2 linked regions of the Callithrix jacchus genome follow. The protein of the gene in region 2 interacts with the protein of the main gene of each other region in a pairwise test. Links are inferred from orthologs where the notes say so. Each region holds a gene or a part of one and is shown on either strand. Other genes may lie near its edges.

The links.
Region 1: the proteins of PRKG1 (region 2) and ZNF646 interact in binary tests that used the Homo sapiens proteins (3 or more experiments, as listed by UniProt). The two-hybrid records come from large-scale screens. The link is inferred for Callithrix jacchus from reciprocal best matches to the Homo sapiens genes PRKG1 and ZNF646.

What each region holds. Positions count from the first base shown.
Region 1 is NC_133513.1:30,602,794-30,608,687, reverse strand, and holds part of ZNF646 (zinc finger protein 646), read right to left. Parts: intron 5,489-5,894; 5' UTR 5,410-5,488; coding exon 27-5,409; intron 1-26. UniProt on the Homo sapiens protein: May be involved in transcriptional regulation.
Region 2 is NC_133513.1:79,219,690-79,226,137, reverse strand, and holds the start of PRKG1 (cGMP-dependent protein kinase 1), read left to right. Parts: upstream 1-2,567; 5' UTR 2,568-2,671; coding exon 2,672-2,982; intron 2,983-6,448. UniProt on the Homo sapiens protein: Serine/threonine protein kinase that acts as a key mediator of the nitric oxide (NO)/cGMP signaling pathway. GMP binding activates PRKG1, which phosphorylates serines and threonines on many cellular proteins.

The sequences.
Region 1 (5,894 bases), about 49 Mb from region 2:
CACCCAAGCCCTTCATGCCCCCGTACCAGAGCCGGCCACTGTCCACTCCTCCTGGTGCTGCTGCTGGTGCTGCATGAAGCTGATTCGGCGGCGGAAGTGGCGGGGACAACGGGGGCAGGTGAAAGGCCCCTCCCGAGGTGCGTGGACCCGCCCATGGCCCTCCAGCCGGGCAGCTGTCCGGAAGGCCTTGCCACAGATGCTGCAGCAGTGGCGCTTGGGGTCCGTGTGAGTCCTGCTGTGGTTCTTAAGAGACAGCAGGTTGGGGAGAAGTTTGGGGCAAAGGGAGCAGGGGTATAGCCCCGTGGTGTGGGCCTTCTGGTGGTTCAGCAGGCTGCCGGCATGGCGGTAGGAGCGCCCGCACTGGGCACAGCGGAAGGGCCGCTCCTTATCTTCAGCTGCCGCGGACATCACTGCTTGTCCTCCCCTGGCTGTCTCTGCACTCTCTCCTGGGCCTCTGGGGGTTTCTGATGGGGCCTCCCGGGCTTTCCCTTGACTAGGGAGGCCCACCTCGTCCTCCCAAGTCCCTGCTTTGGGATCTCTGGCCTCCTCCATTTGGGCTGGCACCTGGCTGTGGCCCCGGGTATGAGCCTGCAGGTGGCTGGCCAGTTCATGGTAGGATTCAAAAGCCTTGCCACAGTCAGGGCAGACAGAGGTCTGGGCATCTATGTGGTTGTGACTGTGGCTCTTAGTGGCCATAGGAGTCAAGATCTCCTTGGAGCAGAGCAGGCAATAGTGTCGGTCTGTCTTGTGGGTATTGTGGTTCAAGAGGCCGCCAGACTGGCAGTAAATCTTGCCGCACTGGCTGCAAGAGAAAGAGTGGCTCCCTGGCTGCAGCTGAGAGCTGTTGTTCCAGCTATCCATATGACTCAGACTAGGTCCATTGAGCTGGCGGTCACCAGCATGGCAAGGACTCCTGGGAACACTGTCCTCTGGCTCCTCTGGCCTGGTGAGGAATTGCGGAACCCAGCCTCCACTGTGGTTCCCGAGTCCCCCACCTCCTGGGCACCCACCTGCCTTCTCTGTGCCCCAGGACAGTGACTCTGGGGCTTCTGAGCCTGCTGCCCTGAGGGGGCTCTGACTGCACTCCCCTGGTCTCGGGACTCCATCCTCCAGCTGGGGCACTGGCTCAGTACCACCCAACCGGGCCTCTAGTCCTGGGTCACCAGCCAGGCTCGCCTCACTGCCCACTGTGCCATCCGGGCCTCCCTGGGCATTGGCTGGCTCCCCTTCTTTCTCCTCCTCATGCTCCCGCAGGTGCCGCTCCAAAGATCCCCGGCCAGGGAAGCCACGGCCACAGAGGGCGCAACGCACAGCTGAGCGCCTGGACCGCCCCGCCCGCCGCCTCCGATTCTCTGAGTGCAGCCTCTGATGGTCCTTCAGAGCCATGCGGTTGGAGTAGGTCTTGGGGCAGGTGGGGCAGCTGTACTGGCCCGTCTCGTGGCTGCGCCGGTGGTTCAGGAGGCTGCCAGCATGGCGATAGGTCCGCCCACACTGCCCACAGCGGAAGGGCCGATCTTCTCGAGTCGGTTTTCGGGTGCCACCACCCCCACGCCGCTCCATGTGAACTCGCTGGTGGCTGGCCAGCTGTTTCCGCAGGCGGAAGGCCTTCCCACACTCACTGCAGCGGAAACGTCGGGGATCTGCATGGATACGCCGGTGGTTCTTGAGGGACATGAGGTTTGAGAAACCCTTGGAACAGGCCTGACAGCCAAAGTGGCCGGTCTGGTGGCTCTGCCGGTGGTTGATGAGGCTGCCAGCATGCTTGTAGGAACGGCCACACACCTCACAGCTGAAGGGCCGCTCAGAGCTGGCCTCAGTCTGACAGCCCTTCTCAGCAGTCTCTAGCCTGGGCTCTATCTCCTCCCCCTTCACAGTGGTCTCCTCCCACACCTCTTCTTTCACCCTCGCCACTTCCTCCAGGGGCTCCACTTTAAGTTCTTCCTGGAGCTTCTCTACTTCTGCCTGCCCCAGCTCCTCCTCTGCCATGTGCTGGGGCTCACTGCTACCTCCTGCCTCTGGGATGGGCCCAACCTGGGGCTCAGTGCTGCCTCCTGCCTCTGGGATGGACCCAACCTGGGGCTCAGAGCCTTTGCAGCGAGGGTGGTTCCGCAGATGATTACGGTAGGCAGCCAGGTTGGGGTAGCAGCGGGAGCAGACAGGGCAGAGAAAGTCTCCGGTCTGGTGGATCTTGCGGTGGTTCACCAGGCTGCCCCCATGGCGATAGGTCTTGCCACATTGGTTGCAGCGAAAGGGGCGGGGCTGAGCCTCCAGCAAATTTTCCCCACTCTGCATGCAAAGGCTGTCTCCCAAGGGGGTGCCTGCTCCCTCTTCAGACTTGGCATCTCCACCCTCTCCAGAGACAGAAGTCACTATGTCCCCCAAGACACTGTCCATGACCATCTCTGTGGCATCACCTGCTGTTCCCAAAGGGCTGGGAGCCTTGTCTACTGTAGTCCCAGAACTCTGACTTTGGTGGTGGCGCTCCAGGCTCCCCAGGTCATCGTAGGTCTGACCACAGCAGCCACAGATGTGCCCATACCCTGCACCGTCCAGCGCTTCCACCTCCCGCTGCAGTTGATTCAGCAGCTCTGCTTCCGAGAGCTGCAGTGGCGGGCTGCGGGCGGGGGCTGCCTCTGCCGCTCCTTCCTCTTCTCCCTCCTCCTCTGAGCCCTCAGTCATGCCAGAGGAGCTATGGGCCTGGCGCCGGTGAAGCCTGTAGCCAGCACGCCCAGGGAAGATCATGCCACAGAGGCAGCAGAGGAAAGGCTGTGCTGAGGTCGCCTCCCCCGGCCTGTGGTTCTGGAAATGGCTTCGGAGGGCAGGCAGAGAGTCAAACTCCTTTGGGCAGAGGGAGCACTGATAGATGCCGGGTGGGTGGCAGGGCCTGTGGCTCAGCAGGCCAGTGGCATGGGGGAAAGAATGCCCACAATCAGAGCATGTGTGAGCAGCCTCAGCCTCCCAGCCAGTGACAGCATCAGCAGAGTGGGAAGAGGAGTTGGGCTGACCAGTGGCTGGCTTCTGGTCTTCATCCACCATGGTGACATCATCGCAGAAGCGAGTCCCACCACCTTCCTCACCTCCTGGGATGTCCAAGTTGTCAAGGAAACTGGCATCCTTCCTTTCCAGCCCTTCCCCAGTGCCTCTGCTCTCTTTATCACCCTGGAAATGGGTCTCAGCCTCCTTCTCAAGCCCACATTTGTCCCCTTCAGATTCAGCTAGCAAACAATCCCCATCACTTTCCAGGATGCCTTCAGCCCCGTGAGAACTTTTCTCTAAAGGATCTTGGGGAGAGGCCAGGCCTTCATTGTCTTCCGGCTCCTGGATCCAGCTCCCTGCTGCCGGGAGTTTGGCTTCTCTTCCACCACTGGCACCGCCAGCCCGCTTCCGATGCCGCCGGCTCCGCCGCCGACTATGGCGGCGCAAGTGGTTCTTCATGGCTGCCATGGTATGGAAGTGCTTGGCACAGGCCCCGCAACTGAAGTCCCCTGTCTGGTGAGTCTGCCTGTGGTTGATAAGGCTGCCGGAGTGGCGATAGCTCTTTCCACAGTCTCGGCAGGCAAAAGCCCGAGGAGGCGACACCGTGGTCTCTGTCCTGCTATTTTCCTTTTCGCCTACCACATGAGTCAGGCCATGACGTTCAAGGCTCTCAGGGTCTTCAAAGAGTAGCCCACAGATGCTACAGATCTGTGCTGCTGTCCTGACTGCTGCTGGGGTGATATCTGTGGCCTCTTCTTCATGTTTGCACACGTCCCCCTGATCTGTGTGCAGAGCTGCCTCTGCCTCCACTGGGTCGGATGGGAGTTCCACCTTGAGGTGGCTGGGGGCACCCTTGGCCCCAGGGTCTGCACTTCGGCGAGCAGCCTTGCAATGTACTCGCACATGGTTGCGCAGGGCCATGAGATTGGGGTACTTGCGGGGACAGAGAGAACACTGGTACTCTCCAGTCCGATGGCTGTGGCGATGGTTCACCAGGCTCCCTCGGTGGCGGTAAGCACGACCACACTCACTGCACTTATAGGGCCGATGGTCCAGGGTGGTGGTGGGGTCCTCTTCCTCTTTGTGGGTGGCCTCGGCCAGCAGCTGGGGAGCTGGCGGCACTGATGGCTGCCCGTTTTCCCCAACTCCGTGCCGGGGCCTGTGATGAGCCCGCACGTGGTTTTTGAGGGCAGCCGCATTGAATAGCTGCTTAGAACAGAGTGAGCAGGGATAGACACCCGTCTGGTGGCTCTTTCGATGGTTGATGAGGCTCCCAGCATGGCGGTAAGTACGGCCACAGTCCCCACAGCGGAAAGGCCGGTATTCCTCCAGGCCATTGTCCTCCAGCTCCCCAGAGGTACTGAGCTCTGCAGAGCCATTCAGCATCTGTGCACTGGGCAGCTGGTCCTGGCTGCTCTCGTCTGTGTGCCCATTGGTGGTGAGCATCCCTTTCTCCTCCCAGGGTGGCTCCTGCCTTTCACCCTCATGGGACTGCTGGTGTTCCAGCAGCTCACGGGGGAGCCGGAAGGCACGGGGGCAGTGGGGACAATGGTAAGGCCGATACTGGGCATGGAGTCTAGAGTGGTTCTTCAGAGCCATGAGGTTCGAGAACTCCTTAAAGCAGATGGCACAGGGGTAGATGCCCAGCGTGTGGCTCTGGCGGTGGTTGGTGAGGCTCCCGGCGTGCTTGTAGGTCTTGCCACACTGACTACACTTGTACCGCCGCTCCTCCTCCGCAGGAGGGGACTGGCTAGGCTCTTGGCCCCCTGTGAAGTTCACTACTGATTCAGCCAGATACTGTTCCAAGTTGCTAAGGAGGCTGCTGGCTGGGGTGGGGAGGGGAGGGGCCCTGGCAGAGTTGGTAGAGGGCCCCCAGCCGTCTGTACCATCCTCAGGACCTGGCTGGCCTGCCCAGCCTTCTCTTTGTCTGGTGGGTAGATCTTCCCGAGTACCTGAAGCTGCCCTGGGATCAGGTACAGATTCACAGTCAGGTGTCTCTTCGGTATGTTTTGTCTGGTTTTCCCAGCCTTCACCAGAGCCAAGCCTTTGGCCCCAAGTGTCAGTGGACACCATCTCACGCTGGAGGCGTGGAGTGGCTTCCTTGGAGCGTGTGGGCCTGTGCCTGCGGCGACCCTCAGGAGCATGAGTCCTCATGTGGCTCTTGAGAGCCATGGGATTGGTGAAGTCCTTGCCACAGGTGGTACAGGGGAAAAGGCCAGTCTCATGGGTCCGACGATGGTTGACCAGGCTCCCAGGGTGACGGTAGCCCCGCCCACACTGCTGACAGCGGTAGGGCCGAGGGATGCTGTCAGCCTCCTCACAGTCCTGGTTGGGAGATGGATGGAGCAGTTCTCGGTGCCGTGACAGCTCTGCGAGGCTGGGAAAGTGGCGATGACAGTCCGAACAGCTGAGTGAGGGGGGTGCGTCCTCCATAGGGCAACGTGGCAGAAACCTGGAGGTTCAGAAGGAGTAGACAGGTGGCAGCACCTTCCTCTGGTGGAGGGGCCGAGGCCTAGGAAGAGGGGGCAGTAGTCAAAAGGAGGGCCTGAATTAACTTTGTTTCTTGGTTCTACTAGTAACAAGTTTACCTGAGGTCACCAAGAGGTTCCCCAAGCATCCATGCCCAGGAATCTGCTTCTACTAGATCCCATCTGCACCCTCATTTAAGGCCTCCCTGTGCACAAGCCCCTTAAATATAGGAGCTCCCCTACGCTTAAGTTATCCCTACAGGTATAGCGAAGGAAATTAAAGTTGAGAGGGATGCAACCTACTTCTGATCACAGACCTATTATCACGTTCTTCAGACCAGACTCAAAAGGCATTACTTGTCCTTTAACCCTCTGCTCCCTACAATCCTTAGACAAAAACTTTGTGACATCTTAAAAGAACACCAGAACCTTCTCTAAGCCTTTCAATAA
Region 2 (6,448 bases):
ATCCTATAGCTGCATGTAGATATGCTAGCTAAAATAGTGAAAAATATTTTCATAATTTGGTGTAAAAAAAAGTCACTTTTTTCCCAAAATACCTAAATACTTTTGGTTGAAGTCTTATTTTTATTTTTGAGGAAAGTCTTTTAGTTTCTATTTTCCTAAAGACAGACTTTCTACAAGTGAGGAAGAATCTTTTCTAGTTTTGCCTGCTCAAAAACATTAAGTAACCCCATTTAAACCCTAAATGAACTCTAAAACATCACTGAAAAACTTCCTTAAAATACTTGCTTTCACTTTAAAAATGGAAGAGATAAGCCTAGAATTCTGAACCCAGCTTAGCAGTTGTCTGATTATGTCCCTATACATTGTACCTGATATATTTTAGACATAAACTCATGGCCTCATGAACCCCAATAATAGATTTATAGGAAAAAGTCATTTTGCATTAAACATTTTCTCATGAAAATAAAGAATTCCCACAGGTTAAAAAGAATTTGGCCTTTTGCCTGGAAGAAGGAAATTGTCATAGAGGCTTTTTCAGAATACAGTGAGTTATACGAAGTCACAGTACTTCTGCTTGATTTACTTTTAATTAAAACAATTCAGAGCTATTATTTATTATTTTCAATATTTGTAAGTTACTCATTTCTTCATTGTAAATGCAAATGTTTTGAGAATGATCCATTGTATATGTCACATTTAGAAATAAATGCACTTCTGAAAGTCTATGTTGGAAAGCAGAAAAAAGAAATGTCTAATGTCATCTGCACTAAGAATTATTAAATCATAATCTACATAAAAGACTGTTATATCTTTTGTCATTTAGTCATCTAATTACAAACAACTACACTTTAAATGAGCAAGCTTATTAACATGCCTTAATCTCCCTCCTTCCCTCCCTCCCTCCCTTCTTTCCTCCTATACATTGTATTCCTCCTCTGTCTCTAGCTTAAATTCAAAAGGTTGTGTATTCAAAAGCAACAGTGTGCAAGTTTTTTGATAGTATTCTTTGCTAAGTTTAGAATTGCATTGCAATCCAATTTTATCTCTATTCATTTTGTTTTAGTGTTATGGAATGGCCAAATAAAGCATTGAGGATTATAATATTGAGTGCCCAAGAATAGTAATCAAAAGCCTGCCAATAAAGACGCTATAAAATTGCATGAGTTGGTAACATCTTAAGCAAATATTCGGAATTTAGGTACGTATTAGGCAGATATTTGGGGATTCTAAACGTGTTCCCATGAAGGGAGAGTAAAACTTGGATAGAAAATAAGTTGTCTAATTGTGATCAGGGGAATATTGAGGGGGAAGAGGTGGGGTTGGGGGGGTAGAGGTGGAGGATGGCTGCGGTATAGTGTACAATTCACTGGAGCCCATGTAGTCTCCCTCGCTCCTTCACGATTTTCCCTCTTCTTCAAAGTTTGTGTCAGGATGTCATCCTGGCCATTTAAGTGGAAAGATACATTCCTAGAGCTTGGTTGTGAGGAAAGTAATATTTTTGAAGGTATGATTCAATTTCAGGATGAACTTTTTGGAGCTCTAGAATGATTTTTAACCCCCCGCCCCTCCCCCGCCAAATTCAGCAAAAGGAAGAAGCAAGGCCCAGCAGTGAACTATTCCCAGGCACCAGCTCAAGGCGGAGGGCTGATGAAGAAGCTGAGTGGCTTGCTAGGGCCCAAATCCGTTTTTGCCTTTGCCCTAAAACAGTTCCGTGATTGGAGTTTGGAAGGGGCAGAAAAAAGAGTAACTATCGGGAATAGGCAAAGAGTAGCAACGCCTGGGGGGTAAAAATCAGAACACCCCCTTCCCCACAACCCTTCCCCGAAGGCAGTAGGCTGAAAGGGGGAATCCCTCTCGGGCGCTGACTTGCTCGCCTGTCTGAGAGCCAAGTTTCTTCGCAAGCGTTAGCCACCTGTGTGAGGCGCTCCGGGTGGGAAAGGTGGCGTGGAAGAAGCGACAGCTTGGCCACGCGGCTCGCTCGGGAGCTTTCCTTGGTGAGGCCGGCCGTTAAAACACCTCCAGAACTCGGCGCTTTGAGGATAGAGTCCGCTCTGCCTCTTACGCCTCCAGGATCAGAGCCCCACTTTCTCCAGGCTGATCTGCTCTGGAGCCAGAAGACGCCTCCCGAGTTTGCCCGGGGTCCTCCCTGTCCCCTCCCTCCCACCTCCCCACCCTCGAAGTGGCGCTCCCGCCTCGCTCCGCCTGCACAGCTCCGGCGCGCCTGGAGGCTTATCAGGCTCCCCGCACGCCCCTGCGGCTTCCTCGGGCGCCCGGCGCGAGGGACTCTGACAGTACAGCCGCTGCCTCAGAGCCCCCCATTCACAGCCCCTCCTCCCGCTTCCCCGCCACCGCGCCCCCCAGCTCTTCTCCCCTGCGCCGCGCGCGGCGCCCACCGCGTGTCAGGCTTAATCCCGGGTTGGTCCTGGTGGTTTGCTCATCCCCACTCTCAGCCTCCCAGCCAGCGCAGAGAAGTGGAATCCGCACTGAAACTCTGGGTGGCTGGAGCAGGCGGACTGGGCATGCTCAGAAGCCAGGGCTGGCTTTGGTCTCAAGTAGGAAGCTTTTGCACTCGGGAGGCAGCGGCGACTTTGGGGAAAGTTGATCGGAGAGGGGAGGAAGCCCCAAGACGCGGAGCAGCGGCAGGAAGGAGCCCCCGGCAGCCCGGAGGAGCATGGGCACCCTGCGGGATTTACAATATGCGCTCCAGGAGAAGATCGAGGAGCTGAGGCAGCGGGATGCTCTCATTGACGAGCTGGAGCTGGAGTTGGATCAGAAGGACGAACTGATCCAGAAGCTGCAGAACGAGCTGGACAAGTACCGCTCGGTGATCCGACCAGCCACCCAGCAGGCGCAGAAGCAGAGCGCGAGCACCTTGCAGGGCGAGCCGCGCACCAAGCGGCAGGCAATCTCTGCCGAGCCCACCGCATTCGACATCCAGGATCTCAGCCATGTGACCCTGCCCTTCTACCCCAAGAGCCCACAGTAAGCAGGGGTGACGCGCCGGATCCATGCGGCGCCCTGGCGGTGGGGAGCTGCGGGTCTCTGTATTGTCTGTCGGCCCCCGCCCCTCCAGCTTGCCATGTCTGTCCTTATCCTCAGAAATGTTTCATTTTAACGGGCACTTCTTGCGGGGCTGTGCACGTTTCTTAGAGCCAGACTCACTGCACATACGTTGCCTTCTTGTCTTTGTCAGATGTCACGGTATTATTTTTATATATACATATGCATTCGTATAAGCCACCTAGTGTACGTAGAGTTTGAACGCGTCCCAGGTGTGTGTCCGACCGTGTGTATGAGTCTGAGAGAAGAAATAAAAAGCCCCCCTGTCTCCCAAAAGCCCCCGCAAGCCAGACTGGAAAATCCTAAATGCAGGCTCGTCAGACTTGAAATGAAATGCGTCTGATATCACCCATACTTTCTATGCTTTTGTGGCTTTCCCGGATTTCTCTACCTGCTGGCGCTTCACGCTGGTAGCCTTCAAACCTGATGTTCTTGTCATCATCAAAGTGTGAAACAGAAGTAAATATGTATAGGAAAGGGAAGAATTTTTGATTTCCTGAATTGGATGACATTTACAATCCATAAATGGAAGCCTAGTCTGTTGATTTTTAAGAAATATTTTTTCATAATACATGAGGGAGAAGATTGCTTATTTTCCTTAAGGAACGTGCATAATGTTACCAATGGAGCATCTCCATCTCCCAAGAGGTGGTTGTTTGTTTCCAGGGTCAGAGACAGATAAGCACACTTATCTTATTTACAACGTGGACCCATTGTTTGCCTTACTCTTGGCTTCTAATGCAACCACTCTGGCATTGTTCTATTCTTTTAGAGAACTGTGCAATTCTGTTGTCAGTGGGCTTCATAACTTAGATGGGAAAAATTCAATGAAACTTGTTATACAACACTCAACTCAGAGTTCACATGGAGAGTAAAGCTGCAGGAACATGAGGTTAACAGAGAATGTAGGAGAGCACCCAAATGAATGGCATTTTAAATTAACAGATAATTACATAATTGATAAAACCAAGGATGTTGCTGATTACTTTACTACTAATGACTTCACATTGGGTGGATGGCACTTGTTACATAATAATGCAAGCTCCCTTGAAACCCTTCACTTCATAATCACAGGAAGTTAATATAAGGAGAAAGTGAATACTCAGTTATCCCTATTTTTATTTATTGGATCTTTTTGGGGGGAATCACAGTATGTACCAATTATTACTTTTGAAAACTTAAGAGTCATACCTATACGTATTGATTCCCATGCAACATTTGCTGCTCGTGCAGGCTTAGTTTTGGGAGGAGTTTGCATTTTGTGAGGGAGTGGGAAAGAGACAATAAGGATAAACATTTCTGAGATTCCGACCCTATCAAATTGCCCTAATAGTTCAACAGACTTAGATCTGCCTTAGAAACCTGAGTGATCTGAATCTACTTCAACTTTCTCTTGTAAATTAATTTGCAGTCCTGACATGCCTGCCTGTTTTAGCTAACGAGGTACATGACCGTCTCTCCTGGGCCAAGTTTTGCATAATGAAAAAATAACTCAAAGACAGCTCTCTGCATCTTTGAACATTCCATAGGAGCTCATTTTCATATCTGCAGGACTTTGGAGGGACACAGAGCAAACTCTGCTTTCATGAAAAGACAATTTTAATAGGTTTTATAGTGAAGCATGATCAAGCCAGCTGATAACTCCAGTTAAACATTCCATCAGAGATCTACAAGATTCTAGGCAGTAGGGAATCAACTATATAGTGCGGAAAGTTTAAAAGCCTCTTTGTACTTGACTTGTAGAATAACTAGATTGAAAAACAAAAAAGGTCCACAGAGGAAAATAAAACTAGTATGGCAAATAATTTACAGCATCTCATTATAATACACATTTTATCTATCAAATAATGCTGTATATTCTGATACTGATTTATTTATAATAACTTATGTTTTAAAGGACTCAAGCACTTAAGGTATTGCCATGATGCTTTTGGTGACTCTGAAGCATTTTATTGAAGAAAATGATAGAATGCCTTCTAAGCTTAAATAATTTTGCAAAAACATCTGTTCTTTTTTCACACTTACATTAAAAAAATATTTTAAAAATTGGCTTCAGTAGTAGAAAGTATACCTTTCTTAGAGAAAAAAAAATTACATAGTATGCAAAATGAATAAATCTAATGTTATTTGAATGGTTGTATGAGGTAGCTCCACAAAGGATTAAGAAAACCTGCCAAACCTAAGAAGACTTGTTTATATTTCAGTGTATTTCACTATGAATAATTTCATTACACAGACTTACTGGCAACAAGTGTTTGTGTCTTTATATTTCATCTTTACCACATCTTAAATGTAGCCATCTTTCTTATACATATAGATTATTATGAGTTCAAGTTAAAATGAAACTATCTAAATAGACACATTAATTTCCAGTTCACATTTATGCTAGTTTTTGATTCTCTTTCCTTTAGATGTAGGTAACTGCCCCGTTAATGTTCTGTTCATTTATTTGATATATGCAAATATTTCTTTTTAGCTTTTGCTTGCTGAGTTTGCCTTCTGAGGATTACAATTTTTTTAAATTATGTTTTCTTGGTAATTTTGATCATTTAAAAATAGTACAAAATGTAAACTAACTTAATAACTTGAATCATCTTAACATTTTGGTTTTAGAATTTTCCATTAATGTGGGAATTGGAGGGAATGACTGTCAGATTTCAGCACAGAGCCAGGGCACTCCTGCTATAACTATGAGGTAGGAGGAGTGTTTTTGTTGGTGTCTTTTACAATCTGTATAAAAGCAGTGCTTATGTGAAGCAAAGAACTGATGTAGCAAATTGGAATCTATATTCTGCTGCTTCCGAAATAACTCCTTGAGAATATAAAACTACTAAACTATATTTTGAAATAATGAGCAAATAAACCCTTAACAAAACCCAAGCATTCATTATGTGAGAGCAGATAGCCTATTGATTGTATATATAGAATGTTTCTTATGGACTTAAGTAATTTTATTTCATGACATTTCATTCCTGAAATTGATTCTACATCACGTTAGAACATTCAGTCTCTGAAATTTTGATCTAAAACCCTTATCTTTTGAAAATATTCCCAAAACTCTTCCGTTTTCATGTCACAGGGTTTTAGTCATTTCGGTTGGACTATATAGACTTGAGCTCCTAAGAGTTGTTAGTATCTTTGTATTTTTGTGAGTTATTGCTTTCACTCCAGAAGCAGTTGGATTTCAGAGAATTTCTCCTTCCTTCCTTCTTTCCTTCCTCCTTTCTTCCTCCCGCTTCCCTCCCACTGCCTCCCTCCCTCCCTCCCTCCCTCCCTCCCTTCCTTCCTTCCTTCTGTCTCTCTTTCTCTCTTTCATCTTGCTTTGTCATCCAGGCTGGAGTGTAGTGGCACAATCTCGGCTAACTGCAATACCCACCTCCTAGGTTCA